Linked DNA regions of Mus musculus: all the other regions are reported to be linked to region 1. The links are microRNA targets in miRTarBase. Many come from high-throughput screens and were not tested one by one. Region 1 holds a microRNA gene; each other region holds the end of a gene's coding sequence.

Region 1 (5,073 bases):
GATACTTAGGCTGAGCTGAGTTTAGGCCATCAGAGACCTCGGTGCAGCAGAGCTGTGAGGGAGATAGCCGCTGGGGCTGAGGGCATAGGTTTGGGATGAGCTGGCTGGGAGCTATAGGAAGGCACATAGGAGCACACTTAACAAGCACTGAGGGCCACATGTGAGGTGTCTACTTGGAGGAGTGGCTCGTGGCTCCTAGCTGCCCTTGCAGGGGCTCTGGTACACTCAGGAGTCAAGTGGTTCTTCATGTGAGCAGAAGCTGAGGGGTGACTGGGGCTGATGGAGGTCTGAGCTACCCTCGAATGAGGATTTGGGGCAATGTTCACCGAAACGGTCAAGTCAGAGAGGCTTTCTCTGGGGCCTCTGACAGTGTAAGCAAGAGGCACCCTCCCTCGTACTTGTGGGATCTTCAGCTCTTTTGCAACTCAGCCTGTAGCTAGGGATGGGTCTTTGTAGTCTGCTGGACAGATAAGACAGACATCCACCCCAAGTGAAGATACAGAGCATCCTCTCTCCTTGCAGCTGAGAGCTGGACTGAGTGCTACACAGTTTTGAAGGAACAACTCTAGAGTGTCCTTGAAGATGATGGGGCCCGCTTACAGTAGCTTCTCTCGCAGCACCTCTAAAGTCACCAGCTCACCTTCTTGGCAGCCTGGAGAGCTACGTGTACCTCCTGGCATTTCTCTGTTTTCTGAGTGATGGGAAAGGGGCTTATATGGCCAACACTTGGAGCCACATCTCTAGCCGCCAAGTCAGATGTATTGGGAACAACTGCACAGAGGGGAGAGGACTCCGCAAAGGGCTCACACTAAAACTGTGCTCTTCCTCTGGGGGGAGGACTTCAGAGGGAGTACAAAGTACCTCAGCCCCTCACAGCTTGGTGGTGATGCACCCCTTTTCTGAGAGCCACTTAGCGCAGGATTCCTGTGACCCTTCTGTGCTGAGCAGCTCTTGGGCCTGACACCATCCCCAGCTGTCCCAGCCTTGTTACCTATGGGTGCCTGGGTTGGTTGTCCATGTTGATGGTTGGGATCAAGGGTGGGTGGGTGTCCATCAGATGTGTCTTTCTGTGATGGGCCTCACTGTTCTTCTGTTTGCTTCTGCCTCCCACTGTTGCTCTACTGCACCCGTGGGAGCATGATGGCTCTGCTCCGTCTCTCTTCTCTGCTCAACCAAAGAGTTTCAGAAAAGAGAAAGGAAGCCTTTTCTGAAGTCTCTAGACTTGATTTCTTGTCCTCAGTGCTTGCCCTGGCTGAGGGCCCCGTACAAGTGAACTCTGGGAAGATGATTTGTCTAGGGTCATGGACAAAGGCCTTAGAAGATGACTTCCAAGCCTATTTCGTTAACGACCTGCATTCATTAGAAAAGGACCTGTGTTTTCAAAAACATGGCTCTTGTGTCTCACATGGTCAGACAGTAGCCAAAAGATTGCCCATAAATATGTCTTCTGATGGCTGTTTGGCTACTAGGACAGAACCATTAAGTTGAAGAGCTTAAAACTATGACCTTAGCGGCTGTGTGTCTGTTTTGTTTATGTCTTAACATTCCCTACCCCATCTCTCTGTTCTAAGCACCTCTGAGCTCTCAGCACAGTCCTGCCTTTGAAGCCTTGTGTGATGGGGAGCCTCAAGGATTGGAGCCTGCACTTCTTCAGCTGCTTCTGCTGTGAGCACAACATTCAGTCCTGAGGAAAAGGTTTGCTAAGTAGGAGAACTTGGGGGTTCTTCCTCCTCAGGTATGGATTGATTTTTCACCTCACAGAGACCCAGTCAGCACCCATGGGGTGGGGCATTTGAGTTGGGAGGTGGGTCTTGCTGGAGCAGAGGCCCAGCAAGGTGGATCCTTCTTGGAGCGTGGGAATCTACAGGGCTGCTTAGAAATGGTTTGATTGGTTCATAATGGCACCTTGATAGAACAAGAGGGTTTACTGTACAGGATACTTGCCACACCATGGCCCTCTTTGTGCTACTACATGCAAGTGAGTGAGTCCATTGGATGGAGTGGTCATAGACAGATCTGGCCATGAGATGAGTGTCTCTGGACCCCCACTAACTAGCTCCTGCCCAATTGACTGCTTCCTGAGCACCACAGCTATTTGAGGTAGGCTGGGACGTTCCTGCCGTGCTTGAAAGAGACACCAAGAGGCATAAGAGGCCCAGGCCTTTGGCAGAGGAGGGCTGTTCTTCCCTTGAGTTTTATGACTGGGAGGAACTAGCCTTCTCTCAGCTTAGGAGTGGGCCAACAGCTTCCTTCCGATCTCCAGGAGAATGTTGCTGGTTGACACACGGAACTCATCCTCTAAGTTCCCCCACCCATCAAGGTAGCTGGTGGAGTCAGAGATAGATGTTTCTAAAAGCCATGGAGAACTTTGAGGTCTTGTCATAATGCCCTGAGCCTACTACTAAGACTGCCACCTTCCCATTGTCGATGCAGTGGCTTCTGAGCGCACGTAGCTGGGAAGCGGGTGAGCGGGCCAAGATCCAGGTTAGTGGGCATTCGAGACTACAGAAAGAGACCCTCCTAGGGTCTTGGGGTTGGGGAGACAGAGGCAGGGCCCCTAAGAGGGGATCTCCATCTGTGTGCACACAGAACAGCCTATGTGGAAGGTGACAAGAGGGCCTTTCTGGAGGGCCCCCCCTCAATCCTGTTGTGCTCGCTTCAGAGGGTTGGGTGGAGGCTCTCCTGAAGGTGTCCGCAGAGCGTCGCATGGTAAGTAGTCCCTTGGGGCTCTAGAGAATGCTTGCTGTCTTTGGCTTGATCCCAGTGGCAGCCTCTGCTAGACTAGTCCTGCCCCCCAGTTAGTGCTCATGGGGTACCAGAGACCTGACCCCACCCTGTCTGCTCTAGGCTAATAGTGCCCTGCTTCCCTGGGCTTGTACCACCTTGTGTAGTATCTCCCTACTCTTCTGTATCCTTGGCTGGGAAACTTGCTTCCTAGCACCAGACCTTCCTTGATGTGGTTGTTTGCTTTCCTTTCACTTATCTTTTCTTTCCTACAGGAGTGGGATGGACATCAGTCAGATCCACACCGGTCTTCATGGCAGCCCCCCTTTTTTATTTATTTATTTATTTATTTTTGAGACAAGATCTCACTGAATTATCCATACTGGCCTTAAAACTTGGAATCCTTATGCCTTAGACTCCAGCATTTCTGGCATAAACTGCTGTGTCCAGTCTAGAAGGCATTTTGGTGAACCACCCCTGTAAGACTGAGCTGGGGGGGGAGGGTGTCAGGCACCCAGTTTTGAGTTACTCACACCCAGCCTCTCCCAAGTGTGACACAGTATCTGCCTAATAAATTCACGAAGAAAGATTGTTTGGTGTTGTTCTCATCTGTGCTCTGCGCTCTACCCAGCTCTGCCTGGTGTGCCCATCACTCATCCCACTTCACCAGCTTGCTTCTAGCACACACCTGGCTTGATCTTGCTTCTTAGTGTCTCTTCCCATTAATTAGATTTAACTCAACTGCAAGAGGGCTGGAGCACCTTTCATTTAGAGTACAGTAAACTCTGAATAGAGGGAGGGCGGGAGGGAGGGAGGGAGGGATGGGGGGTAGGAGGGGGAACAGATGAGTGTGTGGATAGATGCGCGGGTAGGTGGGTGGATGGATGGATAGAGAGACATTGAAGAAGATTCAAACCAATAGTGCAGGTTAAGCACTAAACAGGGAGTGAAGGCTGTGAAGCCCAAATGGGAGGCTGTGTATCAGCCGTCTCGTGAGCAGAAGCTAGAGTAAAACCCTCAGATATGAATTCTATAAACTTCAGTTCTCTTCCTTTGGGAAGCCCCAACAAGCTACTCACTCACCAGCCATAGGCCGCTGTCCTCAGGCCTGCTGTTTCTGCTTTTCCAACACTCCTCTGCACTGAGCCTCCTTCTTAGTGTTACCTGCCACTCATCTTCCCACCCTCTTCCTTGTCTGTAGCCATTGTCTTGACAAAGAGGTAAGACTCTCCTGGCTGTGTTACTAGTGGGAGAGAATGGTTGGCATCAAGAACTGCAAAAATCACCACATGTGTCAGGAGAGACTCTGGGAGAAAACATAATTGGATAAGGGGCAGCTGCTCTCTGAGCAAGGATCCCCTGGGGTCCTTAGCTCTAGTCATGTGTACCCTTGGCCTGGCCACTGGTCTCATGAGGCTGGACTGAGATTCTGGGGGCCTCTTGAGCACGAAAGGAAGTGAATTCCCATGGCTTGTATTCACTAGATTCCAGAAGCCACTACCCCCATCCTGTCACAGCAGAAGCTTTTTAGACCTTGTCCCAGATCATACTGGGGACAAATGACTGACTCTACTGGGAGATCATGGTGTCTGTTAGCTGCACTGATTTTTTTACCTAACTTAATTACAAATTAATTCAAAGGAAACAAAATACATATAGCATGTGGGTTGTCACCTGTCTTCAACTCTGTCTAACTATCCTGCTGCCTGGGACAGTTAAGTATGAGAACCTGTGGCCTAGCAAAGGTTCCAGTGGTATAAGGAAGTCTCCCTTCATTCACAGACAGACAGACAAAGTAGGTAGGACTCACCAGGCATGCACACGCATGGCCATGTCTCTCCCTGTTCTACCTAGACTTTGGTGCAAAGACCATTTACTAACTAAGGGATCCAACTTCTGAGGAAGGAAATGGGTGGTTCTTAGTACTACTGGATGAACCTGGAGCATGGATGTGCTGTTGTAGAGCTCAGAGTGACCTAAGTTTGATGGTAAGTGCTACCAAGAGTCAAAACTGAGCAGTTGAACCAATTGTTGTCCAGGATTATAACCCAGCATTTAAATGTCTGAAACTCGCTGAGAGGTTCTGCTCCCTGCCTTCCATCCGTAGAACCCATGCAAGAAGAGAGCCGACTCCACAAAGTTGTGCTTTGACCTCCACACACAAAAGAATAATAGTTTAAACAAACAAACAAAAAAATGTTTTAAAAATCCATGAGCCGTTAAGGGGGCAAATGGGTAAATAGAATGTGAGAAAACACAGAGGAATTGCGGTTACTGCCATTCACTCCAGCGAGCAACCTCCTGTGGAAGAAAAGCCAGAGTCTCAATGAACAGTGCAGACTGGCATTC
Region 2 (5,073 bases), not on the chromosome of region 1:
CCTGATGTTTTGGTTGCTTAAGTGTAGGGTCAGCTTATGGCCTGGAAAAACGGGGAATCCCATGCTCCTCAGCCATAGGGCACCTCAGCACAGGGCTTCCTACTCTTTTAAGTGGTACTGTATGTGCCTAACATGAACAAAGTCCTGGGTTCTATCCCAGCAATGAACGAACCAGGCTCAGTGACACAAACCTGTAATTCCAGAAGTCTGAGGCCAGCCTGAGCTGGAGAGCGAGAGCTAGCAAGCCTCCCACTCTTTTAGGACAGAGTGAGAAGCCAGAGCTACATACAGACCCTGCCTCCTAAGGTGGTAGAGAAATAAGACAGGCAGACAGAAAGGAAAGGATGAAACTTGCTTGTTAGGTTTACACAAGGGAAACATGAGCCCTGCAAAGAAGGTTGTTTTGAGGCAGGGCGAGGACCAAGCAACCCACTGGTTCCCCGAGTGCACCTCCTGCTCGGAATGCTGAGTAAGTGCTTGCTTCCACGACACCCAGAAAAGAGTTATTTCCTTTTGGAGGAGGCTCCCATGTTAGGAAGCTGTCATTTTTGAATGAGGGAGGCAGGAGCAGCGTGAGTGGGTCTCTGGGGAGTACCAGGGGCTTCAGCACAGTTGAACTGTTGGGAGAGTCTGGTGGGGCTGACTGAGGAGACACTGAAACACCGAGGCTGCTGCCACGCCGGCTGGTGCAAGTTTTATTGAGACAATGTACAAACAGGCCATGGAAACAAGGGTTTTGATGCTGGGACCAGTAACGCAAAATGGAATACAAAAATAAAAAGGCACTAATCTGTTAAGAAAAGACACTCAATGTATTCTAAGAATATAAGTCATTTAATACTGTTAATTTTATAGCACAAAATAAAACAAGCTATGATCCCCAAAAATAATTTTAAAAGCTTACACAGAAAATATTATTGCCTGATGCTTATGTTCTTTAAGTTATACACGTCAAAAGAGTTTTATGTCATTTTAAAACACACAGTGAAGACCGTCTAGAAGCAAGGCCACTGTCCTCCTGTCTCAGAACTGTCCTCCTGCTCCTTCAGAATATACAAGCAGCTCAGCGTCCACGCTCACAGCAGTTAACCAGGGAGGGGTTCACTGGTTCCAGAGTGAGGAGTCCACAGAAAGCATTAGTCTTAGGTACTGTGTTAAAACAATCAAGAATTCACTCATTTTAAGAGGTTAATGAACATAATATTAAAAGATTAAATTATGAACACCTGGAACAAAAACACATCATCCCTTTTTTTTTTTTTAAATGCTCATTATTCTTTTGAGTAAAGGTTACAAGAGCAGTGGCCATCAGTCTTGGCCCATCTTGTCTGTAAACAGCTGTAGAGGAAGGCTGGCACAGTGCCAGGATCGTGCAACTTGAAAAGAGGGCAGAGTCTCTTCCAGTGAGCACAGAGGGTTACGTCTGGATGACAAAAGCCAGGACACCCTGTCAACCTCGAAACAGGTGGCATCAGAGCAGTGCAGAGTGACAAGCATGCCTTCTGTATGGGGTTGGAGGTGGAGGTGGGGGGCTGTCACCCAGGACTAACTAGCCCTTAAAGCCCTCAACTACCTAATTGTTTCCTTCTCAGATACAACAGCCATAGCAAGTGGGTTTATCATCCCAGTACTTTCTACAACATGGCAGAGCAGACCACACAGCACTGATGATGAGAAAAGGAAGCCTCCATCGTACTCCCCTGAAACCAAGGGTCTTCCCAGAAGAGTGGGACTTGGGGAAGATGCTGCTTTCTATCAGTGAGAGAGATTTCCATGATTAAAAATCGATGAGCTTCTAAGTCAGAGAATTACTATTGTTGGCACGCACGCACGTATCCTGAGAGTTCAGAAAGTTAAGTCTTTATTTTGAGATCTGGATCTCTGAGGAAGCTGCATAGACATTTACATGTGCCAAATTAACTGATTACATAAAGCAAACTCCAGGGTTATGGGACATTCTGATCATGAAGTATTCCTTAGAGTCTTGCTGGTCAACAGTCTTGGGAAAAGGGAAACCCTGTTCTCAAAAATGGCTGTTTATGCTAAGCAAGGTGCTATAATCAAAAGGCACCAAGCCCTTCAGTTAAATGTAGTTTTAAAAGACCTTAAGAGCTGGGTGTGGTGACTCAAACCTTTATAATTTCAGCTGAGGCTGGGATGGAAATCTTGAAGCCAGCATGGGCAATTTATAGAGATCCCATCTCGGATTTCAAAAGCTTACTGGCAGCCGGTTATCTAGCACGTGTAAGGCATGAGGTTCAGGCCCCAGTGATGGGGTATCCCTTGGGGGTTGTGCCCTCAGTGAACAAGGTGTGTATTCCAGTGGAGACATCAAAGGCCTGGGGCTAAACTGTGTAACTGGCCAGAAGGCAAGTCTTAAATCTTGATTTAGGCAGAGTCTGGGGCCTGAACACTTAAGTCCACTCAATAGGTCTGGCTAGAAATGGCAGCTTTCAGAGACAAAAAGAAGTAACCTCTACAGACGTGACACTCCCCATACCCCAAATGACCATTACTTTGTCACATGAACATTCTTTACTATAGAACTTAGCCTGATGGACTACTGATTTAAAGAGAAACTAATGGGGCTCAAGAAATGGCTCAGTGGTTAAGGTCTTCTTGCAGAGGACCCAGGTTCAATTCCTAGAACCCACAGAGTAACTCCACAGTTCCAGAGGATCCAACCAACACCCTTTTCTGGCCTCCTAACAAACTACCCATGTGATACACATACATACATGTAGTGGAAACACCCATATACAGTTTTTTTTGGGGGGAGGTCTGAGGGGGGGATTGGGCCATCTTCTGATACAAGGTATGTATGTAGGCCTGCCTGTCCTGTGACACACTACATAGATCAGGATAGCCTTGAACTCTCAGAGATCCACTTGCCTTTGCCTTTCTGAGTACTGGGATTAAAGGTGTGTCCACCATGCCCAACATAAACAAAAATTTAAAGTCTTTAAGAGAAATAAATATAGTGGACAAAGGGTTTTGTTGGTTTTGTCACCTGAATATGTTCCATTAGTTCTCAAAGCCTCAGGCCTGCAGAACCAGGGCCATGGTTACAGAAGATATTCTGTAAATGCTAGAGCTGCTCACTAGCCACTACTCCATCTCTAGGTCTGCTACGTTCGTTCTGTGTGGAGGTGTATCCTCATCAGGGTCCAACTGAAAAGAGTGCACTCTAGAAAGGTTCTAGAGCTCTGGTTTGCCATGTGTGGATGAGGGATCAGACACATATCTGTAGTAGCTGACATGCAAGGAAAAATGGCTCATGATCGAGGGGCGTCTTCTTTTGCTCAGAAGCACTGTATTCTGGTTCTACTCAGGCTGTGGAACCAGAACAGACACCACTCTCAAGCTGCCTGGACAAGCTAGGTCAGTACAGGAAGGGCTGGGTGGCCTCTGTGGTGGAACACAGCAATGCAATTTAACTCACGGATCTAGTAAGCCCACAGACTTCAAACGTTTTCACTGAAGAGGCCCACCCTGTCTGCTCCTGTCAGAGGCAGCGATGACAGCAGGCCCACCCCCACCTTGGTGCTTCACAGCAAGGTACACCATGACTGCTGCTGTGCACTGTTTGCCACATGGTAAACAAGGTACTGTGGCAACCAAAAGATAAAGGCCCCTGGAGGGGGTCTTTTCCTATTTTAGTTACGTACAGTGGCTTCAGTTTGGAAGCTCAGAGACATGGATTGTTCCTTAGACCATCATAGACCAACCTACTATTTAAAAATCTGTTCAGAACACACAACTATAATTAATTAGTCTTCCAAAAAACAAAACTAAACAAAAGAAAATGAAAACCAGCCAGACTTGAGGAGTTCGGGACAGAATTGTCTGGAGTTTTACTTCCTCTGTCGTCCAAAGAAAACTGAGTTGGTGGCAAAACCACTGTTCTGTGGACCAGCAAAGCGAGACCTTGCCAAGCCTCACCGTCTCCATGCAGACCATCAGCAGGCTTGCTTGCTCTCTCTGTCAGCCTCCAGTACAAACAAGGCAGTGATGGATGGGAAGGAAGAGCTGCTCTGGGTTCCAGTCTCTACTGTGTGCTTCCACCAGTGTTTCCAGTTCACAATCCACAAGAACTCTAAATCAGCTACTCTTTGACAGCATGACTATGATACAAATGCCGAGCCAGCGAGCAAGGCAGCTGCTGAGGCATTCCGTATGTGCAGGGACTGCCAATGTATGGAAAGCTGACCGCCAGCAGCTCGGTGTAACTTGCATGTGACAGAGTGCTTCCCACTTCAAAGGAGACTGACAGGCAGAAGGAGGCAGCAGCAGGGACAGCACAGCAATCACTCGTTGTCATCGGGGTTCTGAGGGTCAAAGATTTTAACATGTGTGAAGGGGAAAAGCCCCTTGCGCCCATTCACCTCGCCTTCCCATTGGCCATTGATATTCATCCTTGTGACTTTCACAATGTCACCAACCTGTAAGGGAAGAGGGAAAGAAAACAAAATTAGCATCACTACAAACAAGGAAGACAGTTTACATTAAATCACAAACACTGTCTATACAAAAATCAAGTAGTACAAAGACACGAGATGCCACCAACCACCCAGGATACCTGTCGCTGGCAAAAACTCAGGAAGCAGCCTCTGAACACAGAGCAGCCACTCCCTCCAGCGTTACTAATAAATGGACATGTATGAGCATCCAACTCTAAGAACGTGCATGTTAAGCTGAATAAAAGGGTAAGAAGTGCGGACTGGTGGCACATACCTTCAATCCCAGTCTTTGGGAGGCAGAGGCAGGCAGATCTCTGAGTCAGCCTCATGGACAGAGCGAGTTCCAGGACAGCCAATGGCTTACACAGAGCAACCCTGTCTTGGGAGGAAAGTGGGAAGTAGCCAGGTGTGGTGCTTATAATCCCCACAGACAACACACAGGAGGCTAAGAGGACCTTCAGTTTGAGACCAGCACGGACTTAATAAAACCATCTTGCTCTGACAGTATATTTATGTAAAACTGAAATGATACAGAGATAATTAGCATGACCCCTGCACAAATGTGTTAAAGCATTTCATACTAAAAGACCACTACAGCAAACAAAAACAATCT
Region 3 (5,073 bases), not on the chromosome of region 1:
TTATGTATAATCCTGAATACAAGCATTTAGTCAGATGCAGGAGGTTCCTCGGGCCAAGAAGTGGGAGGGGGTGGGGAGGGTTTGGGGGACTTTTGGGATAGCATTTGAAATGTAAAATAAGAAAATACCTAATAAAAAATGAAAAAACGAACAAACAAACAAAAAAGACAAGACCACATGGGGAGCAAATCCACAGACAGTTGCCAAATCTCTGATGAGACACCAGAGAAGCTTCAGCCTGCCTCACCTAAACTCCAAGCTTTAATTATAATAAATCTTAACTTGGGGCTGGAGGAGGCTTGTGGTTAAGAGCATTTGCTGTTCAGTCATGAGGATCACAGTGTGAATCCCAGCACATATGTCAGGTGCTCACAGACACCTGTAAGTTCAGCTCCAAGGCATCTGACACCCTCTTCTGTCCTTCTCGGGCACTTGCATAGTGCAAATATACTCATACATACATGCACATATATACACACAGATTATATATATATATGCATAGATACACACATACATAAGGATGCATGCATGCATACATAAAACGAGTTTTTAAGTTAAAACATGTATTAGTTAAAGTGCAAATGCTGGGCATTCACCAAATTCTGGTCCTTACTGCTATTCTCATTTATATTATATTTGAACCCTTTTTGAGCAAATATGTGGAAGAAGCAACCCATTGTCATGGCTTAGAAAAGTAGCAGCTTTGAAATGCCCAGTGGAGGGTCCATGAGCACAGACACCTCATTGCAATATAGTACTATGTCGTGAGATCGCTAGTTTTTCTTTATTAAAAAAAATGTGTTCTCTAAAACCTTTCCTCAGAGAGACCCTCCGAGAAGTGCTGCATTTACTGAGAAGCACAGGAAACACCCAAGTGGAGTATATCATCAGGATCATGAAGAAGTGGGCCAAGGAGAATAGAGTGCCCATCTAAGCAGCCAAACCCTAGGCCAGGACCAGCTTCCTCTCACGTCAAATTGGAACTGTTTTCTTGCACTTGAATATGCAATCCAGGACCCTGCTTGATTGACATTTCTTTCCTTGCTCTTAGAGCATTAGGATGAGTGGGTGGTATGTGTGGACTTAGGCATCAGGCAACAGGAATCTCCCTGGCCTGCTGACACCCAATGTAATCTACTGGTGCCTTTCTTCCATAATCATTCTGAACACTATTCTGTAATTTACTGGCTTTAGGAATAGATACTAGTTTTGTTTTTCTTTCTCTGTTAGCATTTCAGGACATATCTTTTTTCTTCTTCTTTTTTTTTTTTTTCTGAGACAGGGTTTCTCTGTATAAGCCCTGCCTGTCCTGGAACTCACTTTGTAGACCAGGCTGGCCTCGAACTCAGAAATCCACCTGCCTCTGCCTCCTGAGTGCTGGGATTAAAGGCGTGTGCCACCATGCCCGGCAGGACATTTTCTCCTACCTGCAGTAACAAGTACCTTTATACTAGAGAATTGCCATCATTTGATCATATTCCATCATTTTGTACATTAGCCCATCCATGACTACATCTCTGACTCCTGGGAGACGTCTTTCTGAGCTGTGTGATTCTGAGGATGGCCATGAGGCCCTCTACCAAACAGCAGTCAGTAGTAGTTAGTTAGCTTATGAGACCACTCTCTGTGAGTAGCTTGTTACGTTGAGACAAGCTGAGTATATGGTTTTAAAAAGGTGAGTGAAAGGAAAAACTTGGCATCTCTGAAGGTGTGTAAGTCTCAGAGTTAGGTCTCCCTTGTATTTTAGGAAACAAAGCCAGGGCAGGGTTCTTACTATCTTCTGAATGAACAGCAATTTTGAACATAGGACTGGGAAAGTTTTCATGAAATATATATATATGTATATTTTTTCTGAGACAGGGTTTCTCTGTGTAGCCTTGGCTGTCATGGAACTCACTCTGTAGACTAGGCTGGCCTTGAACTCGGAGATCCGCCTGCCTCTGCCTCCCGAGTGCTCGTATCAAAGATGTGTGCACCACTGCTCAGCATACGTACCTGTTTATATTGCGCACACATGAACACATCGTAGGGATTTATTGATACAAGTATAAAGCAGGTCCTTTGAAGAGACCTCCTAATGGCTAGCCTCTCCATCATATCTCAGCCTCGTGTCTCTGAGCTGTCATCACATAAACTTCTTTTTTCTACAACAAAGTATTGTCAGGCTTCCATCCTACTTTCAGAAAACAGACATACATCTTTTTGTGTATCAGATTACCTGCTTGTTTGTATGCTCTGTAATTTTCTTCTGTAGGTCTGAGGTACACAAGCTAGAACATACAGACCCATCCTCATAGAGCAGGGACTGCACAGAGGAGGAGGTGGAGGAATTTTTAGAAACACCATTAATTCTTCTTCCTTCCCAGCCTCCTGCTGCAGATGGCAGATGGGAGTTCTGCACAGAAAGGAGAGGGAAACCTGTACAGAGTAAAACAGCTGAAGCAACAGGACCAGAGGCTGAACACAGCCTTCATCTCTAGCCAGTCCCAAGGTGTTCCTCAGCTCTGTATCTCTGAGTCCTGGGACAAGTCTTCCCGAGAAGATGGCCAGTGTGCCATCTTTTACATTAGGATCAGATATGATTGGGCCAAAGCACAAAACACAGTACTGGTCTAACAGAACTGCAGGAAACAAAACTGCACCATTTCCTTATGCCAGAGCTTCTTGTCTTGTTCTGGTGTTCCCTCTTTTTCAGTAGCACCTGGTTCTCTTTGCCAAAGGTACTAGGTGGATCAGATATGACTAAACCTGCTATAGTTCTGTGAATCATTCTTATGAAACTTATTTTGCTTTAAATACTTGGAAGCAAAAGAGTGGGATGCAGATCAACTCCTGGGAGCTGTTGACATCTTCAGTGACACACTGTTCAGTTCCAGCTTCCTGAAAGACACTCATTCACAGTCATGGACTTCCCAGTGAGACATTGTGAGTTTACTACTTAGTAGTCTCTGACATTTTCCTTGAGAGAAGACGGTCTGTCCCCAACAGCAGAATTTTAGATTACTGTTAAAAGTTTTTAATCTACAGGATTGAGACAGAAACATGAAGGCTTGTTAAAGAGAAGCACATTCAATTCTGTTAGGAGGGATAATTGTTTCTGATTGTCTTGACAGGGCATCAAGTTCGTACTGTGTTCTCTCACAGATGACAGCCTGGAAAAGAAGGGCTTGGCTGGGGAATGTGTAATTTATACAGTCTATCATAGCAATGTACTATTTAAAAATAGTCTGTAGTGTATACTTAAAAATGGAAAAAACACTTTTACAACTATTTTTGTACAACAAAAGAATCACATACCACTGTACTATATTTAAATTAAAATTTATTTTTTGGTTTTTGTCATGTGTGTTCATGTTTATGCAGCTGTGTTCACGTGTAGAGGTTAGAGGTCAAACTGAGTGTCTTATCTCTTTCCACCTTATATTTTATGAAACATGCCTGGAAAGTTAAGGTATATGCATATGCTAGATACCATGACTACACATTTGCCAAATCTAGTGGAATTATATTTAAAATAAGGGGCTTAGGAGCATTTAATACAGGTTTTGTTTGTTTATTTGGTTGGTTTTTCAAGACAGGATTTCTCTGTGTAGCCCTGGCTATCTTGGCGCTCAGACAGTAGACCTGGTTGACCTCGAACTCCTCTGACTTCTGCCTTTGCCTCCTGAGTGCTGGGATTAAAGCTGAGCACCACCCCCATGAGGCAGAACATAGTTATTTTTTTAAGCCTGGTAAGATGGCACCACAGATAAAGGTTCTTGCTCTAAAGCAGTGCTTCTCAACCTTCCTAATGCTGCAACCCTTTAATACAGTTCCTCGTGTTGTGCTGACCCCCAACCATTTTTTTTTTTTTGCTGCTACTTCTAATTTTGCTACTGTTATGAATCATAATGCAAAGATCTGTGTTTTCCAATAGTCTTAGATGACTCCTGTGAAAGGGTTGTTTGACCTCCAAAAGGGGTCAAAACTCACAGGTGGAGAAGCACTTTTGTAAAACCTGGTGGGTGTCCTGAGTTCAATCCCTGGAATTCAATGGAAGAAGGTAGGGGAGAACTGACTCTATAAAGCTGTGCTCTGACCTGCACATACACATGTGTACATATGGAGATACAGACAGCAATAATGTTTAAATAGTGAATAGAAAGTAAAAAGAAAAGACTTAGCTTCCAAGAGTATATGCTCCTGTGATGACTACTACTACTTAGGGAATAACATTAACATCGTGGATAAGATCCAAAGAAACTGAAAATTAAGGTCATTTTAACTTTACCTCATTGCACAACAATACAAAGCGTTTAAATTATCAGAAAAACCTATACAAAAATGAAGCAAGTAGACAATATGAAGGGGTTTTTGAAAGATGTATAGGAGAAAGCATGACAGACGAATGCCTCTGCTCAAACTTACCTCTTGTCCAAACCTGTATATGGGCTTATGTCATCCATTAAAGCAACGAGACTGATGGATTGGATCACAAAGTAAAATCCAAGGCTGGGCTGCTTGCTCTTACTGAGAACAAAGTAATTCGTGATCATTAAAGTGAGAAGACGAGTGGCAGTGCAACTGGGAAAATGCAAATAGAGAGAGAGCAGGTGCCATAATCAAACAAGGTTGGATTCAGGTCAAAGTCATTAAGCAGGCCACAGAGACACACTTGGAATGACAGAAGCTCTGTTTCCTGATGAACACAATGGTTATGAACATGCAACAAAGGAAAGGCACCAATATTCAAAAAGCAAAAATGATGAGAGATAATGGCAGGTCGTGAAAGGTGAAATGGAAATGTAAGTAAAGCTGCAGTCATCTAAACATTATTGGCAATAAGCAAAATCTTCATATGTCAAAGAATATACCTCCCTTCAAGGACCCGCAGGCTGTTCAGTAAAATCTACAAAGAAAATAACATCACTTCCCATGGACAGCTTGCTCCCCGTCCCAAACATTTCACAATTGATTAACCCAATTGATTCAAACACTATTTTAAAATGATTAATATATTTATGTGTATATGGGCACATGTGTTCCATAGCAAGTGTGTGAAGATTGGAGAACAAGTAGGGGCGCTGGTTTTGT
Region 4 (5,073 bases), not on the chromosome of region 1:
GTCTCAGTGTGTTCTGTGGGCCAGCAGCAGCATCACCTGAATCCTCAGGCCCCGCCCCAAGCCACTGAATTAATCCGCCTCGGGGCGGGGCGGGGCCTGGGCACTCAGTTTTGACCCGCTCCCAGGTGATTCTGATGCTAGTTTGAGAACCACTGCTGTGGTGGAAGTGCTCGGTGGGATCGAGGTAAGAAGCACAGCACGTTTCACCCACTTTGCAACTTGAGATGTTCTTCAGCCTGTTTTGCTCCTGAGTTCCTACTGCCTCCATGTCTTGAAGTCCTTGAGGGGTACAGTGGGGAGGAAGGACATCTTGGGGATAGCGGCTCCCTCAGACCTCTAGCTCTTGACTTTGCCCTACTAATATATCTCTGTCTTGTGGAGCTGTGCTCCAGGCCCTCCCCCTCCCCCTTTGACCATTTTCATGCTCTGCCCTCCAGCCCTAGACTCCAATAAAATGTCACCAAGAGTGGAGTTGGGTGGAGGCTGAAGCTGGTCCAAGGGATCCTGGCTTTGCTGCCCTCACCTTTCTCATGACTTTTCCCCCCAACCAGACAGCTATTAAGAGAAACAACCCCAGGAAGTTTCTGCGGAGTGTTGGAGATGGGGAGACTGTGGAGTTTGATGTCGTGGAAGGAGAGAAGGTTTGGGTGCTGCTGTGGGGTGGAGTTGGCCAGAACTGTGGGAGGGTGGCCTGGAGGTCAGCCGAAGCTCTGGCCCTCCTGGGACCAGCTCTGCCTCTGCCTGTGAACGCTAGAGCTGCTCTAGGACATGTCCTAAAGAACCCATCCCTGTCACCAGCCAGTAACATGTGGGTTTCTTCTCTTTAGTTCACCAAGCACTTCCATGTCTGTTTTCTACACGGGACCCCAGCCCTAACAGGACCCTCAGTCAGTCCTCTGGAATGAAGGAGGGACAGTGGCTCTCTCTATCTCATCCTGTCCTGTCTTTACACTCTGGGGGGAATGTGGCAGTTATTTCTAAGGACAAGTTGTTTCTTCTCAGATGGGTACAAACTCTTTCTGCTGCCCCTCGGGGGAGGGGACAAAGGAGGAGTGGTTTTGAGGAGTGATAGGGTAGAGGACTTGGGCCTGAAGAAGTGGGACACCAGTGATCTGGCAGGTTTGTAAGTACTGTGTGTGTGTGTGTTGTCAGAACAGGTTCTGATTGCTCCCCCTCTACCTCCCCAGGGTGCAGAAGCTGCTAATGTCACTGGGCCTGGGGGGGTACCAGTGAAGGGCAGCCGCTATGCCCCTAATCGACGTAGGTTCCGGAGGTTCATTCCTCGGCCTCGCCCAGCTGCCCCACCACCTATGGTGGCAGAGGCTCCCTCAGGTGGGACAGAACCTGGCAGCGAAGGGGAGCGGGCAGAGGACTCGGGGCAGCGACCTAGACGACGGCGCCCACCACCCTTCTTCTATCGAAGGCGGTTTGTGCGAGGCCCTCGGCCCCCCAACCAGCAACAGCCCATAGAGGTGAGAGGAGAGTTGCAGCCGGGGAGGCTAGTTCTCTTACATTATGGAAAGAAGTTGGGGAGTTGTGAGGGCAGAGACTGTGGTCCTCACAGGAAGTAGAACGAAGAGCAAGGAAGCTCCAAAGACATCAGGCGTTCCACAGCCCACCTAGGCCTTTGTGTATTCCCAGGGCTCTGATGGGGTAGAACCCAAGGAGACAGCACCATTGGAGGGTGATCAACAGCAGGGAGATGAACGGGTGCCCCCACCCAGATTCCGGCCCAGGTACCGAAGGTAAGACTGTTGTTTTGTCTTCCCCTTCAGGGTCCAGTGTTGGGCCTGTGTGAAATGACAAAAGTTCTAGAGCCTGGAACAGATGGGGACAAACCAAGGAATCCTGGGAAGGGAGTCTGCCCAATTCTCTGATCCTGTCAGCTTGTTTCTCTTTCTAGGCCTTTCCGCCCCAGGCCACCCCAACAGCCTACCACAGAAGGTGGGGATGGAGAGACCAAGCCCAGCCAAGGCCCCACTGATGGCTCCCGGCCTGAGCCCCAGCGTCCACGAAACCGTCCCTACTTCCAGCGGCGTCGGCAGCAGCCCCCTGGCCCCCGGCAGCCTATAGCCGCAGAGGTGAGGGTCTTGGTACTTTCTGTCCTTTTGCACCTCTACTTTCCTTGTCCCTGTCCCTCTGGCATCCTCCCTGGCCCACCCCTGGCTGGCATTACTCACCAGGAAACCCCTATGCAGGCAAGTCAAGCCCAGGGTGCCTTTGCATGTCCCATCCCCATGCCCATCTTTGGGGTGTGAAGTGTGAGAACTGGTTGGAAGGGATGAGAAGAGGAAAGTTAAGAAAAGGTTGAAGTAGGGGGCTGTAAACAAGTAAGTCTCAGTTCACCACTGCTCTTCAGACCTCCGCGCCTATCAACAGTGGGGACCCCCCCACCACCATACTGGAGTGATTCCAACTCAGAGGACACCCAGAGCTACCATCTGGTGAGTGCTACATCTCACCAAGAGCCGGAGAGGGGGAGGGGTGGTGGATTCTGCCAAGTGACCCTTTATGATTGGTCTCCCTCTCTTTCTCTTAGGTATCTGCCAGTTTCCAACTGACTCTACCCAGCATCCCCCTCCCCACTTTCCCATAATTCATGACATCAAAACATCGGCTTTTCCCTTGAGACTCAGGAGGGCCAAAGCACCAGCCTTTGGCTTTTTTCTCTTTTTTTTCCCTCTCCCCTAGCATGGGTTGAAGGAAGGGATCCATCCTTATTGTTCCGAGGCATCACCTCCCTCCCTAGTCAGGCTGAGAAGGAACCAGCCAGCTCATACCTCCTCCTGATTGTTTTTCTTCCCCACCCATTTATTTTTTGTTTCCCTTCGACCTCCCCCCAACACCTCTGAAGCCATTTTATGAACTGTCATGTGCCACCTGAGCCTCCAGTAAAAACAAAAGCAGGCTTTCTTGTTGTCCTGGTCTCTGGCTCTTCTGTTTGAGGATGAAGACTCTCTGGTGGGGCTGAGACCCGAACAGTGGGCAGGGCCTGCTAGTACTTCCTTGCTCCAGTACCCCTAGCTATTCAGTTGTGACATGAACCCTTTCACCAAGAGTAACTGGATCTGTTACTGGGGGTGAAGTCTCAGCAGTGCCCAGGCACTTGTAAATACAGTTTACAAACCACTTACTGTTCATTTAGGCAGTGGATAAGGGCTGGAGAGATAGATCAGTGGTTAAGAGCACCGACTGCTCTTCTAGAGGTCCTGAGTTTAATTCCCAGCAACCACATGGTGGCTCACAACCATCTATAACAGAATCTGATGCCCTCTTCTGGTGTGTCTGAAGACGGTGACAGTGTACTCACATAAAATAAGTAAATCTTTAAGCAGTGGATAAAAATCAAAGTAGAAAGATGTGCCAGCGCTCAGAGAGCTGAGACAGGATTCCTAATTCCAGGTCATCCTGAGCCACGTTTCTGTTTCCAGAAAACAAATTGTTTTAAAAAGTAGAGCATTTGGGTTCAGGCCTGCAAACCAGCTCTCTGGAAGGCTGAGGCAAGAGGTTTGCTACAAGGCAGCCTGGGCTATGCAGTGAAACCCTAGTTTTTGGAGGAGGGCAATGAAAGTGGATGTAAATAAGTGACAGCTGGGCATGGTGGCACACGCACACCTTTAATCCCAGCAATCGGGAGGCAGAGGCAGGCGGATTTCTTGAGTTCAAGGCCAGCCTGGTCTACAAAGTGAGTTCCAGGACAGAGAAACCCTGTCTCGAAACCCGCCCCCCCCTAAAAAAAAGGTGACAGAATCTAGAGGCCTCGGTGCCCTGAGCCCAGGAAGGATGAAGTGCAAAGGGTGAGTGAGGCATTTTCTTTTTGCACACCCTCCAGTTCCTCCAGCACAGGACACTCATCTTCAAACAGTGACTTTATGGACGAATCTCTATATACACATTTAATACAGCAGCCCTTGGGTTTCTGCTCCCTATCCGTTCTTCAAAACATACAAAAATACCAAAGGCTCCCTCCCAACCAGTGTTTATAGGCAGCCTTTCAAATCCCCTCCCGCCCTTAGTTGGTCAGAAGCTTTCGGGTTTAGCACCCTTCCTGGAGGGGAACAAGAAAGTGTTGGTACCTACGCTTTGCAGCCCTGGGAACAACCTAGGGCCCCAAATGGAGACTGATGCGCTCTAACCGTCCTTGCCCTGTCAGGTATGTACTATTGTGTTCCTTTGCCCGGGAGGGTGGAGCCTGTGGGGAGGCAGGGCTAGATTTTGGGAGGGTGTATCCTTTGCCCTGGAGGGGTCAAGACAACCCCCTTCACCCAGAGCCTGTGTGGCAAGAGTTCAGTGGAAGTGCCAGTTTGTGGGAGGAAAGCACTCGCTCACACACCCACCCCTGCTGTTTATCCTGATGAATTCAGGGCCACCCCACCCTCCTGCAGACCCCTTCTCGAAAGGGGAGGAAAGTAGTCTAGAGCTGAGTCTGGGTAGGGGCAGGAGGAAGGCAGGACGGAGAAAGCCCATCTAGGTGGCCACAGCCTAGCCACACACATAAATAATCCAAAAGAATCACACAGGGGGAATGAGGGGTACATGGACCACCCCTCCCTTCAGCTTCCCAGTTCCCCAGGCTGCTGTTCCTTCAACCTGGAGGTAACAGGGAAGAGAGGGCTAAAGTGCTGTAGAGGAAAGGAGGGAGTCTGGGTGGAGAGGGTGGCTCTCCCACCCTGTTTTGCCCCTCAGTCATTCTCATCTGGCCCTAAGTATTCAAGTTCTGTACTGGGTTTCACCTCCTGCTCTAAAAGGGAAGGTGTCCGTCGGAAGGCAGCTGAGATCTGGTCAAACGTCCGGCCTCTGGTTTCAGGCACTTTTAGGAAGGTGAAGATGAAGAAGCCAAGCAGGAGGACGGCAAATAGAAGGAAGACGTAAGGACCCATAGCATCCTGGGACAGTTGGAGAAAGAAATGTTGACAGAGATGGGAAGCCAGGAACCAAAGACTAAGGAAACTGGGGCTATGTGAGGAGCAGGTTTGCTCCCTTAAGAGGCAGTGGCAATGACCAGAAATGAAAGCTTTCACTGAAAATCTCATTTAGCTTTTTTACCCTTTGCTCTCCTAAGTGTACAATTGG
Region 5 (5,073 bases), not on the chromosome of region 1:
CTGGTTTTAAATTTTTCATTTTTATCAGATAAAACACCTACACAAATATGCTGAGGATTCTATATCATGAGATGTTTCACACCCTCATAACACACTAGAGTGGGATATGAGAAAGAAGTAAGTTGATATTATGAGTTGAGTTCTGATATTCCCAAATGAATGCTTTCAACATCATTTACAGAATTTGGTGCATAAGAGGAACTTATTAAAATATGAAAGCAAGAGAGAAATTATCTGTAGAAAGGAAGACGACAGGTGGGTGAAACTAAAAGGAGGACAATGGAGACATGAATATAAATAAACAATGTATCTATGTAGGAAGTGTTGTAATGAAGCCCATTACTTTCCATGCTAAAAAATACTAATAAGTGCATTTATTTTCAATATACACACATGTACATATATACATTATTCATTATTTTTGCCAGATAAGTAAATTATTTAGAAAATATAGGCTACAGTTTTGGGAAATAACCCCTTCCTCAGCAATCAGAATGCTGCTTTAGAATCAATGGCATTCCTCTGTTTTCTAAACAAAATACCCTTAGGTAGAGACGTTAAGGTTCCTAATCTCAGCCAATGGGACACAGTGAAGACTTAGTGTGGACATGTGTAAGAGAGTACTTTATGACTTATACAAATTAGAATAAAACTGTCATTGTGTAGATTGTTTTTAAATCATGTGATATTTTGTTCTCGTTAGATATGACAATCAAAGAAGATCCATGGACCCAGGTTACCCCAAAAGCATACCAAGCATGTTCCCAGGAGTAAACTGTAGAGTCGATGCAGTTTTCCTGCAGGACTGTAAGTGGGGGAAGTTAACAGCACTGTTAAAATCTTAAAGTAACACATTTGCATTTCTATATCCTGTTTGGTTTATTTGGTGAGAATTCAGTGAGAGCTGAGATCTATAACCTAACTTGGACATGTGTCTCTTTCTTACAGCCTTCTTCCTCTTCTTCAGTGGACCACAATATTTTGCATTTAATTTTGTCAGTCACAGAGTCACTAGAGTTGCAAGAAGCAATTTATGGCTTAACTGTTCATAGAGTTGAGCAATGTCAAATGTCCTTGCACGCACCCTATGAGGACAAAAAGGGAAGCTCAGTCTGTATACTCATCCCACGTGTCCTGCCCAGACTTTCCTCAGTGGTAACTAACTCTGCAGCCCTCTTCGAAGAACCAGCGTTTGTAATCTGGCATTCCCAGCCATGGCTAACTCCTTCTGCATATTCCGTCCCTGGTTCGTGAATGCATCACAAAGAGAGCAAGCCGTTTACTACCTTACTCTTCACTATTTCATTATCTGCTCTTCTGCCTTCTAAAACCTTTTGTTTTATTACTTGCTTATCTAGCTTCAAATGTTCCTAAATCTCTTCAAACAGGGAATCTAGCATTGGATTTTCATTACAAATGAAGATTATAAACACATAGATATTATCCCCTTATCTGTACAGAAAAAAAGTGCTGTTATTTCCTCCGTTGGAAAAATATGAAAAATATGTAATGTGTGTTGAATCATGCCCCTCTGCATGCCAGAAAAAAAAAAAAAAAAAACATTGAAATCTTAACCCCAGCTGTTTATCTAGCTGTTAACCAGAGTCTTTGAAGATATAATGAATTATGTGTAAATGACAAGACAGCCTTAAACAGGGTTAGGATGAGCCATAAGTGCATACATATGTTCTTATAAAACGGAGTGAGAGGTGTGGATGTCACTCAGAGATTAAAGTTTTTTCCTAACATGTTTTATTCTGAGGAGATTTGGGAAGAATCAGCAGAGGTATGGGCACATGATAGAAGAGACCAAGCAAAGAGAACCAGACACTGGAGGGCTGTATCTATAAATCTATTTGCCAATAAGTTCCCAGGCAGAGGCAGGTAGGAGGGGTTTAAAAAAAAGGACCATTCCTTTCTCAAGCACATTCCAGAATTGAGGCACTTGTTGATATGGGTTTTCTGGCTTTTGTGAAAAAATAAAGTTGTTATTCTGCTCTATTGAATGTGTATTGTTTGTTAAAGAAGCAATAGGAAGCTGACATAGTACATCAACCCTTAAGACCACTATGTGGTGTTGCTGCGAAGAGGAGTGCCTAACTAGCATGTGTGAGGTCCTGGATTCAATTCCTGGGAGAGGGATTTTAAAAAACAAAAACAAAACATAATAGTAACAAAACAAAAACAAAAATACCACCATCAAGTTCATTTAGAATGGATTGATACCTCTCCCCAGGTACTTATGTAGCAAAGGGCTGCCTTGTCTGGCCTCAGTGGAAGAGAAGGAGCCTAATCCTGTAGAGACTTGATGCCTCAGGGTAGCAGGGAGATACCTGGGTGGGGGACACCCTCTCAGAGGCAAGGGAAGGGAGACAGGGAGGGGGCGACATTTGAGACGTAAATAAATAAAATAATTAATAATCTTTAAAAAAAAGAAAATAAATCAACACAAAGTCAAATCAAAGGCCTGCTTGGTGACCATGAGGCACTTCCCAGAACAGCAACAGGAGAGGCCACCTCCTAGCTGCCCTCCCTGATCTCTCCTTCAATGTCAAACCAGTAGGCACAGCCAATCAACTTCAAATGCCATATTCCTGGAACTTCCTGATAGGACAGTTTTTACAGATATAAATGCAAGATACTTCTGTGAGCTGCTCATGTGAGTTTGCTGACCCAAATGTTTGAGATGAGAGTTTAGTTCCTGCTATTTTGTTGGCCATACTTCGGAGTCACGGGCATTTTTTTAGGCATCGTATTTATGTGAGCACAGAGATACAAAAAGCTAAACTTAGATTTCAAAGGACAAGGTTTCTCTGCACTTGTTTTTAGCTTATTCAAAAGTAAACCCTGTGCAAAGACCCTGATGCAATTATTTTGAAAGGGCAGCATGATTCCAGGTCCACTCTTTGCAGGGAGAAGGAAAAGAGGGGGGGGGGGAGCTCAGCGAGTGTCACCAAGGTTTTTGCTATGGGGATCTGGCTGTGCATCCACCTACTAAGAATCCCACAGGACACTTTATACTGGAGTTGGGAAAATTCTTTGCCATTTCTCAGGCCCTAATGGGAGAGAATTATTCTGGGGTGTTTAATTACTAAACTTCTAAACTATAACTCTGTGCCATGCCAAACACAGAAACATTCATAGTTTCTCACAAGAAGGCAAGTTGCATAAATCAGAGATGTGCTGTCAGCGATATCTTCTACCAGATTTGTATCTAGAAGGTGGTATGTAAGAACCTCGGGGGGGGGGGGGGGGGTCTGCTCTGGAGAAACTTAGCCATCTGGGAAAAGCAGGTATACAGATGCTGACCCTGCAGGAGCTTCAGTGTGGCTGCCCCAACATTCTCTACTGCTTTTGCAATCCAGTTTCAGTGTTATTGCACAACCAAGACTTTACAGTTTTACGTACAGACAGGTACGGCATGTACCTAATTCTCACCCAAAATTTGTAGCTAACTATTGAGTGGTGTACTGGCTAGTTTTGTGTCAACTTGACACAGCTGGAGTTATAACAGAGAAAGGAGCTTCAGTTGGGGAAATGCCTCCATGAGATCCAACTGTAAGGCATTTTCTCAATTAGTGATCAAGGGGAAAGGTCCCCCTTGTGGGTGGGACCATCTCTGGGCTGGTAGTCTTGGTTCTATAAGAGAGGAGGCTGAGCAAGCCAGGGGAAGCAAGCCAGTAAAGAACATCCCTCCATGGCCTCTGCATCAGCTCCTGCTTTCTGACCTGCTTGAGTTCCAGTCCTAACTTCCTTCAGTGATGAACAGCAATGTGGAAGAGTAAGCTGAATAAATCCTTTCCTCCCCAACTTGCTTCTTGGTCATGATGTTTGTGCAGGAATAGAAACCCTGACTAAGACAGGTGGGGTTCCTCAAAGAATATTAAGAACTTTATTTCTCTTCCTTCCTTGTTTTATGCTACCTGCAATGTAGGTTCAATAGCCATCTTTTGAGAAACCACACAGCCCCTGATGTAGAGAGGTGATTCACTCTAGACGCCACAGACCAAACCTCGGCTGCTCTTACACAAACAAAATATCACTTTGAGTTTTATTAACTATCTGCTATTGTGCATTTTCCTATTGTGTTCAATTAAATCTCATCACATACCATAGAAGCCTGGAATACACCCTGCCTCCTGTAAGAAAGGTCTCCAACTCCCCACACCCATCCTTGGGTACTAACAGCTTCTCAGATAACTTTCTGTCCCAGAAGTTCCAAGCAGATTGCACAACATAGTTAACAAACATTTGAAAGTTGGCAATGTGATAAACAGACATCCAACAAGAAACTCTGAGAAACCAGAGACAATTCTGGTAGAAAAAAGCAAACAGTTGCTATAAGAATGTTTAACATGTGGAGGAGAAAAAAGAAGTTGGGGGAGGACTGGAGGAGTGGAGGGATGAGAAACTGGTTAGGATATAAAAAACAAATAAATTTTTAAAAAGAATGTTTAACACCATTACCATAAAAAAGACATTACAAAAAACATTCAAATATAATACTAAAATAAATAATAATAACAAACAATTACTCATATTTAACTAGCCAGTACTCCTAACAATTAAAGACACAGAGGCTGGGAAGTGGCTCAGTAGGCAGAACTCATATAGAAGCCAGGCACCATAGCACAGTACTTAAACTAATATCCGACTCCATTGTCTCTTCCAATCACACTACCAAGATATGCTAGTGTTTTCTGCCAAAGTAAATTATTTCAAAATTCATAACAACCTACCAAAACTACCAGTAAAACTACCAGTTTTGAGACCAGAAGACTAACTTGGGGGCCTTGCTATTGTCAGCGCTCAAAAGTGAGCAATGTGCTAGATAAGCAATCACCAACTGTGGTTGCAAAATTCAAGTTTATCTAAGGGGAAAACGAAGTCATGAGACACTTCATGGCAATGTGCTTTGCTGTTATTAATTAAGTGATTACTTCATGCCACGTCTCACTGTCAACTTTCTAAATGCCATACAAACAGAAACAAGCTTTAACTGAAGAGACAGGAATGAAGTGCCTTCTGTCTCTGATGGTTAATTTTATAACACTTTCCGCTGCATTTCCTCCA
Region 6 (5,073 bases), not on the chromosome of region 1:
AATTCCCATCATTTGTTTCCTATGCAGGCCAGCTGCTGCCACGGGAGGAAAGGCACCCTGAAGCATAGTGACTTAAATAATTTTTCTGTTTGCATGTGCCAGCCAGGAATCCAAGCACAGCTTGGCTGGCATCATGGTCAGACCATCGTCTAGGGCTGTTGAATCTGAGGATTCAACCGGTGCAGGGAGGATGTCTCCCAACTCCCTCACAGTGTTGCTCAGCAGACCTCTCTGGCATCTCTCTACAAGGTGGCCTCATAGCATCTCAGCTAACTTCCCCTAAGAGGGGGATACAAGAGAGAGCAGGAGGCAGCATCCAAGATAAAAGCAGATAAAATTTTTATCTCATGTGCATCGGTGTTTTGCAGCATTTGTGTGTGTGAAGGCAATGGACCCCCAGGAGCTGGAGCTACTGGAGTTGTGGGTACTGGGAATTGAACCTGGGTCCCCTGGAAGAACTGCTGGAAAAGCAGTGCTCTCTGTAACCTACTTCTGTTCTACTCATTAGAAGCTGAGCTTCAAAGGGGCCCACATCAAAGGGTGGCAAAGAGTGAACAGGGCACAAGCATCAGAGGTGGCTTCACCAGGGACCACCTCAGAGAATACCCACTGCACAGAGGCACCAGAGGCGCTTAGCATCGGCTGTCTGCAATGACGGGAACTGGGTAGATGGGGGAGAAGTCTTCCCTGGATTTTACACTTCAGATGACGTGTACCTTATTCAGCAAGTAAATCACACTTATTTTAGATCTTAAGTCTAAAATAATAATCAGGAAGATAGCACTTTAGGGACTAGAGAGAGGGCTTAGTAGTTAAAAGCACTTGCTGCTTTAGCAGAGGACCCAAGTTCAGTTCCCAGCACCCACATGGCAGCTTATAGTCATCTGTAACCCGAGTTCCAGGGATCCAATCCCCTCCGCTGGCCTGAGATTACAGGTGCATGATACTGCACCTGGCTTTAGTGTGAGTGCCAAGGACACTCAGGTCCCTGTGCCTACTCACTTTACTGTGCCTACTCTCTTTACTGAAAGCCATCTCCTCTGGCCCCTCACCCCCAATACAAACGGTTAAGTAAAAACTCAAGATTCTACCCAATCTGGGCCAAGCTGCCCTCACAGGTGGGACCTTACCATCCCATCCTAGGAACTCTACACAGCTGTTGCTCTGAATTGTATTAAGGTGCCAGGCTCTGGGAGTAAATGTAACACGCACGGTGCCAGCACACAATGGCACTCTTCAAGTGGTCCCCATGCAGTCAGCGCCTCTCTTCTCCCTCGGTGCTTTTGACCTCACCTGTACTCATTCTGTTACTTTATAATACAAATCAGAATCAGATTCTTTACAATCCCTAGACCACCAGCATTAGCATTACCTGAGGCCTCATCAGAAACAGACCCATACCGACAAGATGAGTGTATTGTTTTGTTTTGTTTTTCCGAGACAGGGGTTCTCTGTGTAGCCCTGGCTGTCCTGGAACTCACTCTGTAGACCAGGCTGGCCTCGAACTCAGAAATTCGCCTGCCTCTGCCTCCCAAGTGCTGGGATTAAAGGCGTGCGCCACCACCGCCCAGCTAAGATGAGTGTAAAAGGTCATTATCACCCCAGGACCTCCAGGACCAAGTTCTCAGCACAAAGGAGGGTGGCGAATAAGAGGCAAAGACAGGAGACAGAGGACAAGGAAGAGGGGAAGGGCAGAGAACAAGGGAGCGGGGAAGGGATATTTGTCCCAGAGGATAGACAACTGCTTCTGGATAGAGAGGAGACAGATGTGGCCCACAGGAAAATGGCAGTTTCTAAAGGCCAAGGGAAAATACTGGGTTAGGATTAGGTGTTTAATTTTAATTGGACAGGTTAATTAGGTGAGCCAAAGGGGGCATTTGATTGCTGGACTTCAATACTTTGATAGCTTGACCCTGGTGGTCAGCCTTATTTGGAGGAAGTGGCCAAATAAGGGAATAGACCTTGGAGGCTAGCATCAGGATGCCCTCTACTGGCCTTAGTTAGCACCAGGCACACAAATGGTTTACAGACATATATGCAGGCAAAACACTCATACACATTAAAAAAAAATATCCTGTCGAACTATAATACTCCCAGTGGCTTTCTTTCATTTCTATACCCAGGGCTCAGCATAGGGCTCAGTACTAACAGCGGGCACAGTGGCACACCTCTAACTCTGGCATTAGAGAGGCTGAGGAAGATCATTAGTTGCTGTGGCAATCCCAGAACTGGGGAGGTGGAGGGAGAGGATCCCCTAGCTCACTGGCCAGCCAGGATAGTTTAACTGGTAAGTTCAAAGCCAATGAGAGACTCTGCCGCAAAGGGGGAGGATGGCACTCCTAAGGATGACATCTAAAGTCATCCTCTGGTTACCACACACATACATGCACATATGCTCACATACATTAGCATGCATGCATATACACAAACATGCATAAAGAGCAAAAAAAAGTAATATATTTACCAAATGTCATATAGCCTATATAGTACAGTTTTATTGACTTATTTACAGATGTCCAACTATCCACAAATTTAGAAACAATGAGTTTGTGTCAATGTCTTTGTTTTGAAATTTGTGAAGAACAGTAAAGGGATACAGATCAAAATATTAGGGTGGGTTTTACATTATACTTTTCTGTATTTAAATTTTTTCTTTAATTGAAAACAAAAAATATAGTAAGAAAACAAAGCCACTTTCTTTTTAAAAGTCTCCATCCTTAGCTGGGTGGGTGGTGGTGGCGCATGCCTTTGATCCTAGTACTCAGGAGGCAGAGGCAGGTGGATCTTTGAGATCAGCCTGGTTTAGAGTGAGTTCCAGGACAGCCAGGGCTACACAGAGAAACCCAATCTTGTAAAATCAAAAGCTAAAATAAACCCATTCTCTGCACTACGCCCTGTACACGGCAGCCCTGACTCGTAGAGCACATGGGAAGCTGAGACCCCCGAGCAGTGGCTGTGGCACAGAAGGCAAGGGTCGGCACCACTCCAGGCTGCCTCTCAGTCTCTTTCCCGGCACTGCATGTGATAGCTAATCTTTGCTGTCAACTTGACATCTGGAATCAACTAAGACTCAAGCAACTAGGCAGGCCTGTGAGGGCTTTCTTGATTGGATCATTTGAGGTGGGAAGACCCACTCTAAATCTGGATCATTCGGGGGTAGGACCCACCCCATATCTGGGCCACACCCTGTGGTGGGAGTCCACATATCATCATATGGAAGAAGAAAGCTTTTGCTTTAGGTACGCCGGCCCTCACTCTTGCTGCCCTCAGTACTCTCTCTTTATATTCATTCATGTTATCACTAGTCCTGTTCCTTTAGAGAACCCTAAAACATGATAACACCTATTGGCAGATATTGGGCTTATAATTTGAAGTTAGAATCCATTACTACAGGAGAGTCAGTGGCAGGAACCTGAAGCAGCTGCTGGTCACAGCATACTCACCATCAAAGGTGAATGCCTGCTAAGTGCTTAGCCTGCTCTTTCTCCTTTGATCCTGGCTCCAGCCCATGAAATGCTGCCACTCACATTCAGGATGGGTCTTCTCACCTCAGTTAAGAAAATCTTGCATGTCTGCAAGCCAACCAAATCTAGAACATTCCTCACTGAGACTCCCTTCCGAGGTGGCTTTGTCAAGTGGACCATAAAAACCAACCATCACAGCCGGCATTCCCTCCCCTGGCCGGTTACCCCAAACTCAGAAGACCGTGGCCAATGCAAGGTCCCTTTACCTTTTTGTCTTCCTTTTTGAGACAGTCTCAGTATGTGGCCTTGGTTGACCTGGAGCTATAGAGACCAAGGTGATCTCAAAATCACAAAGACCCACCTGTCTTTGCCTCCCTAGTCCTGGGTGGGATACCCAGCTCCCCACAGACACCTCAGTGGCTTTTAACAGCAACAGGGGACCTCCCTCAAGAACAAGGCATTCAGAACCGCTCACGCTGCACCATCGCCCCCTGGTGGCTGACTTTGGAAATGGAAACTGGCTTCATAATGAGCTTCGGTGAAGGAGTAAACATTTTAAAAGTTCCCTTTTCTTCAGTCCTTTCCTTTTTGGGGTTTTGCAGGTGATTGACTTTGTCCCCCAACTTTCCCCCTCCCCCCAGACACACACACTGCTCCCGCCCTGGACTCCCAGACCCACTCCTATCTTTAAGCCATTAAGGACTCAGATACTGACACACACAGAATCAGGACCTGAGCCAACCAGAGACTATGGTTCAGATGACATAGGCAGCGGTGGCCACACAACCTTGCATTCTGCCCTTTCCTGCCTTGGTGGACACTGTTTATCAGCACTGCCTTTCCTGTCTCCTCAGCCTCTATCTGCTTCTCAGAGTCATAGGTGCAGCTGTCATGGACCCTTGGCCATGGCCTAGCACGGAGAAGTCCTAGGCACTGCTATTCCAGTGAGTCAGGTAGCAATGCTGACCCTCACTTAGAAATAGCCTAGTGTAGCAATGGCAGCCCTCAGCTGTGGTGCTCCAGATCTCCAGACGCTGCACAGCCTCCTGGCTCCTCCAGGAAGAAGGAGACACTCACCAGGACATCTAGAACAGGAAGCAAGGGACAAAGCATCAGGTTTATCAAGGCCCAAGAGCACGGAGGGGGTGTGTCTAACCTCTCCAGAGAGGCAGCACAGGACTGACGGACACCAGTACCTGACACAAGAGTTTGGCACTCATTTTCTGAAATCTGGTCCCAGGCCTTGGGCAGTGCTTGGATGCTGGCCAAGTCTCCCCAGTGGATGGAGGAGAGGAGGTACTTTCTCTTCAGGTACCTTCCCAGAAGTTAAGGACTGCTCAGAAGAAAAAGGAACTTACAAGATATCTGTGTCACTAGGTCATATGCTCTTATGGGACTACTGTTGAATGTGGTCCATCTCAGTAATGTGATTAGAAATCAAGGCAGGAGAGTAGAGCCAACCAGGGCCTCCAGCGCCTAGCCTATGGCAGTGCTTAGCGATATCAGGGTTAGCGGCGCCACTAGCACACCTAGTACCACTATTGCAGTTATAATAGGAAACAGAGGGACAGGAGGAAGATCGTCCCTACATATCTAGATTGGGTGACAA

Evidence for each region. The annotated mature microRNA mmu-miR-298-5p reads GGCAGAGGAGGGCUGUUCUUCCC and lies in region 1 at 2,166-2,188, shown strand. An mRNA with a match to its seed (bases 2 to 7 or 8) in the 3' UTR can be bound and repressed. Matches are read on the target gene's strand: a 7mer-m8 pairs with bases 2 to 8, a 7mer-A1 pairs with bases 2 to 7 and ends in A, and an 8mer does both.
Region 2: miRTarBase lists Crkl as a target of mmu-miR-298-5p. Seed matches in the 3' UTR shown: 8mer at 2,621-2,628 and 7mer-A1 at 1,481-1,487.
Region 3: miRTarBase lists Ttc26 as a target of mmu-miR-298-5p. Seed matches in the 3' UTR shown: 7mer-m8 at 1,361-1,367 and 7mer-m8 at 1,938-1,944.
Region 4: miRTarBase lists Slc2a4 as a target of mmu-miR-298-5p. Seed matches in the 3' UTR shown: 7mer-m8 at 3,638-3,644.
Region 5: miRTarBase lists Mmp8 as a target of mmu-miR-298-5p. Seed matches in the 3' UTR shown: 7mer-A1 at 1,164-1,170 and 8mer at 1,529-1,536.
Region 6: the mRNA of 9930104L06Rik is a reported target of mmu-miR-298-5p. Seed matches in the 3' UTR shown: 7mer-m8 at 2,769-2,775.

Annotation. Positions count from the first base shown.
Region 1 is chr2:174,264,668-174,269,740 of GRCm38, reverse strand. Mir298 (microRNA 298) reads left to right here and starts at 2,156; the gene lies at 2,156-2,237. Mir296 (microRNA 296) reads left to right here and starts at 2,616; the gene lies at 2,616-2,694.
Region 2 is chr16:17,483,030-17,488,102 of GRCm38, reverse strand. It overlaps Crkl (v-crk avian sarcoma virus CT10 oncogene homolog-like), which reads right to left. Exons shown (of 3, transcript NM_007764.5): 3 at 663-4,442. The coding sequence ends at 4,308. Among named protein-coding and RNA genes, the nearest start is that of Aifm3, 6.4 kb to the left of the region's middle.
Region 3 is chr6:38,424,306-38,429,378 of GRCm38, forward strand. Ttc26 (tetratricopeptide repeat domain 26) reads left to right here. Exons shown (of 18, transcript NM_153600.2): 18 at 823-3,342. The coding sequence ends at 934. Among named protein-coding and RNA genes, the nearest start is that of Ubn2, 7.1 kb to the right of the region's middle.
Region 4 is chr11:69,938,687-69,943,759 of GRCm38, forward strand. It overlaps Slc2a4 (solute carrier family 2 (facilitated glucose transporter), member 4), which reads right to left. Exons shown (of 11, transcript NM_009204.2): 11 at 3,600-4,886. The coding sequence ends at 4,683. It overlaps Ybx2 (Y box protein 2), which reads left to right. Exons shown (of 9, transcript NM_016875.3): 4 at 552-641; 5 at 1,188-1,472; 6 at 1,642-1,745; 7 at 1,904-2,081; 8 at 2,360-2,444; 9 at 2,540-2,917. The coding sequence ends at 2,410. Among named protein-coding and RNA genes, the nearest start is that of Ybx2, 5.3 kb to the left of the region's middle.
Region 5 is chr9:7,566,487-7,571,559 of GRCm38, forward strand. It overlaps Mmp8 (matrix metallopeptidase 8), which reads left to right. Exons shown (of 10, transcript NM_008611.4): 9 at 704-807; 10 at 949-2,000. The coding sequence ends at 1,052. Mmp27 (matrix metallopeptidase 27) reads left to right here and starts at 4,910. Exons shown (of 10, transcript NM_001310717.1): 1 at 4,910-5,073. The coding sequence starts at 4,972. The region is part of intron 2 of Gm31751 (a long non-coding RNA gene); the gene reads right to left.
Region 6 is chr4:124,942,059-124,947,131 of GRCm38, reverse strand. It overlaps 9930104L06Rik (RIKEN cDNA 9930104L06 gene), which reads right to left. Exons shown (of 5, transcript NM_177573.3): 4 at 4,661-4,779; 5 at 2,471-4,549. The coding sequence ends at 4,470. Among named protein-coding and RNA genes, the nearest start is that of 9930104L06Rik, 7.5 kb to the right of the region's middle.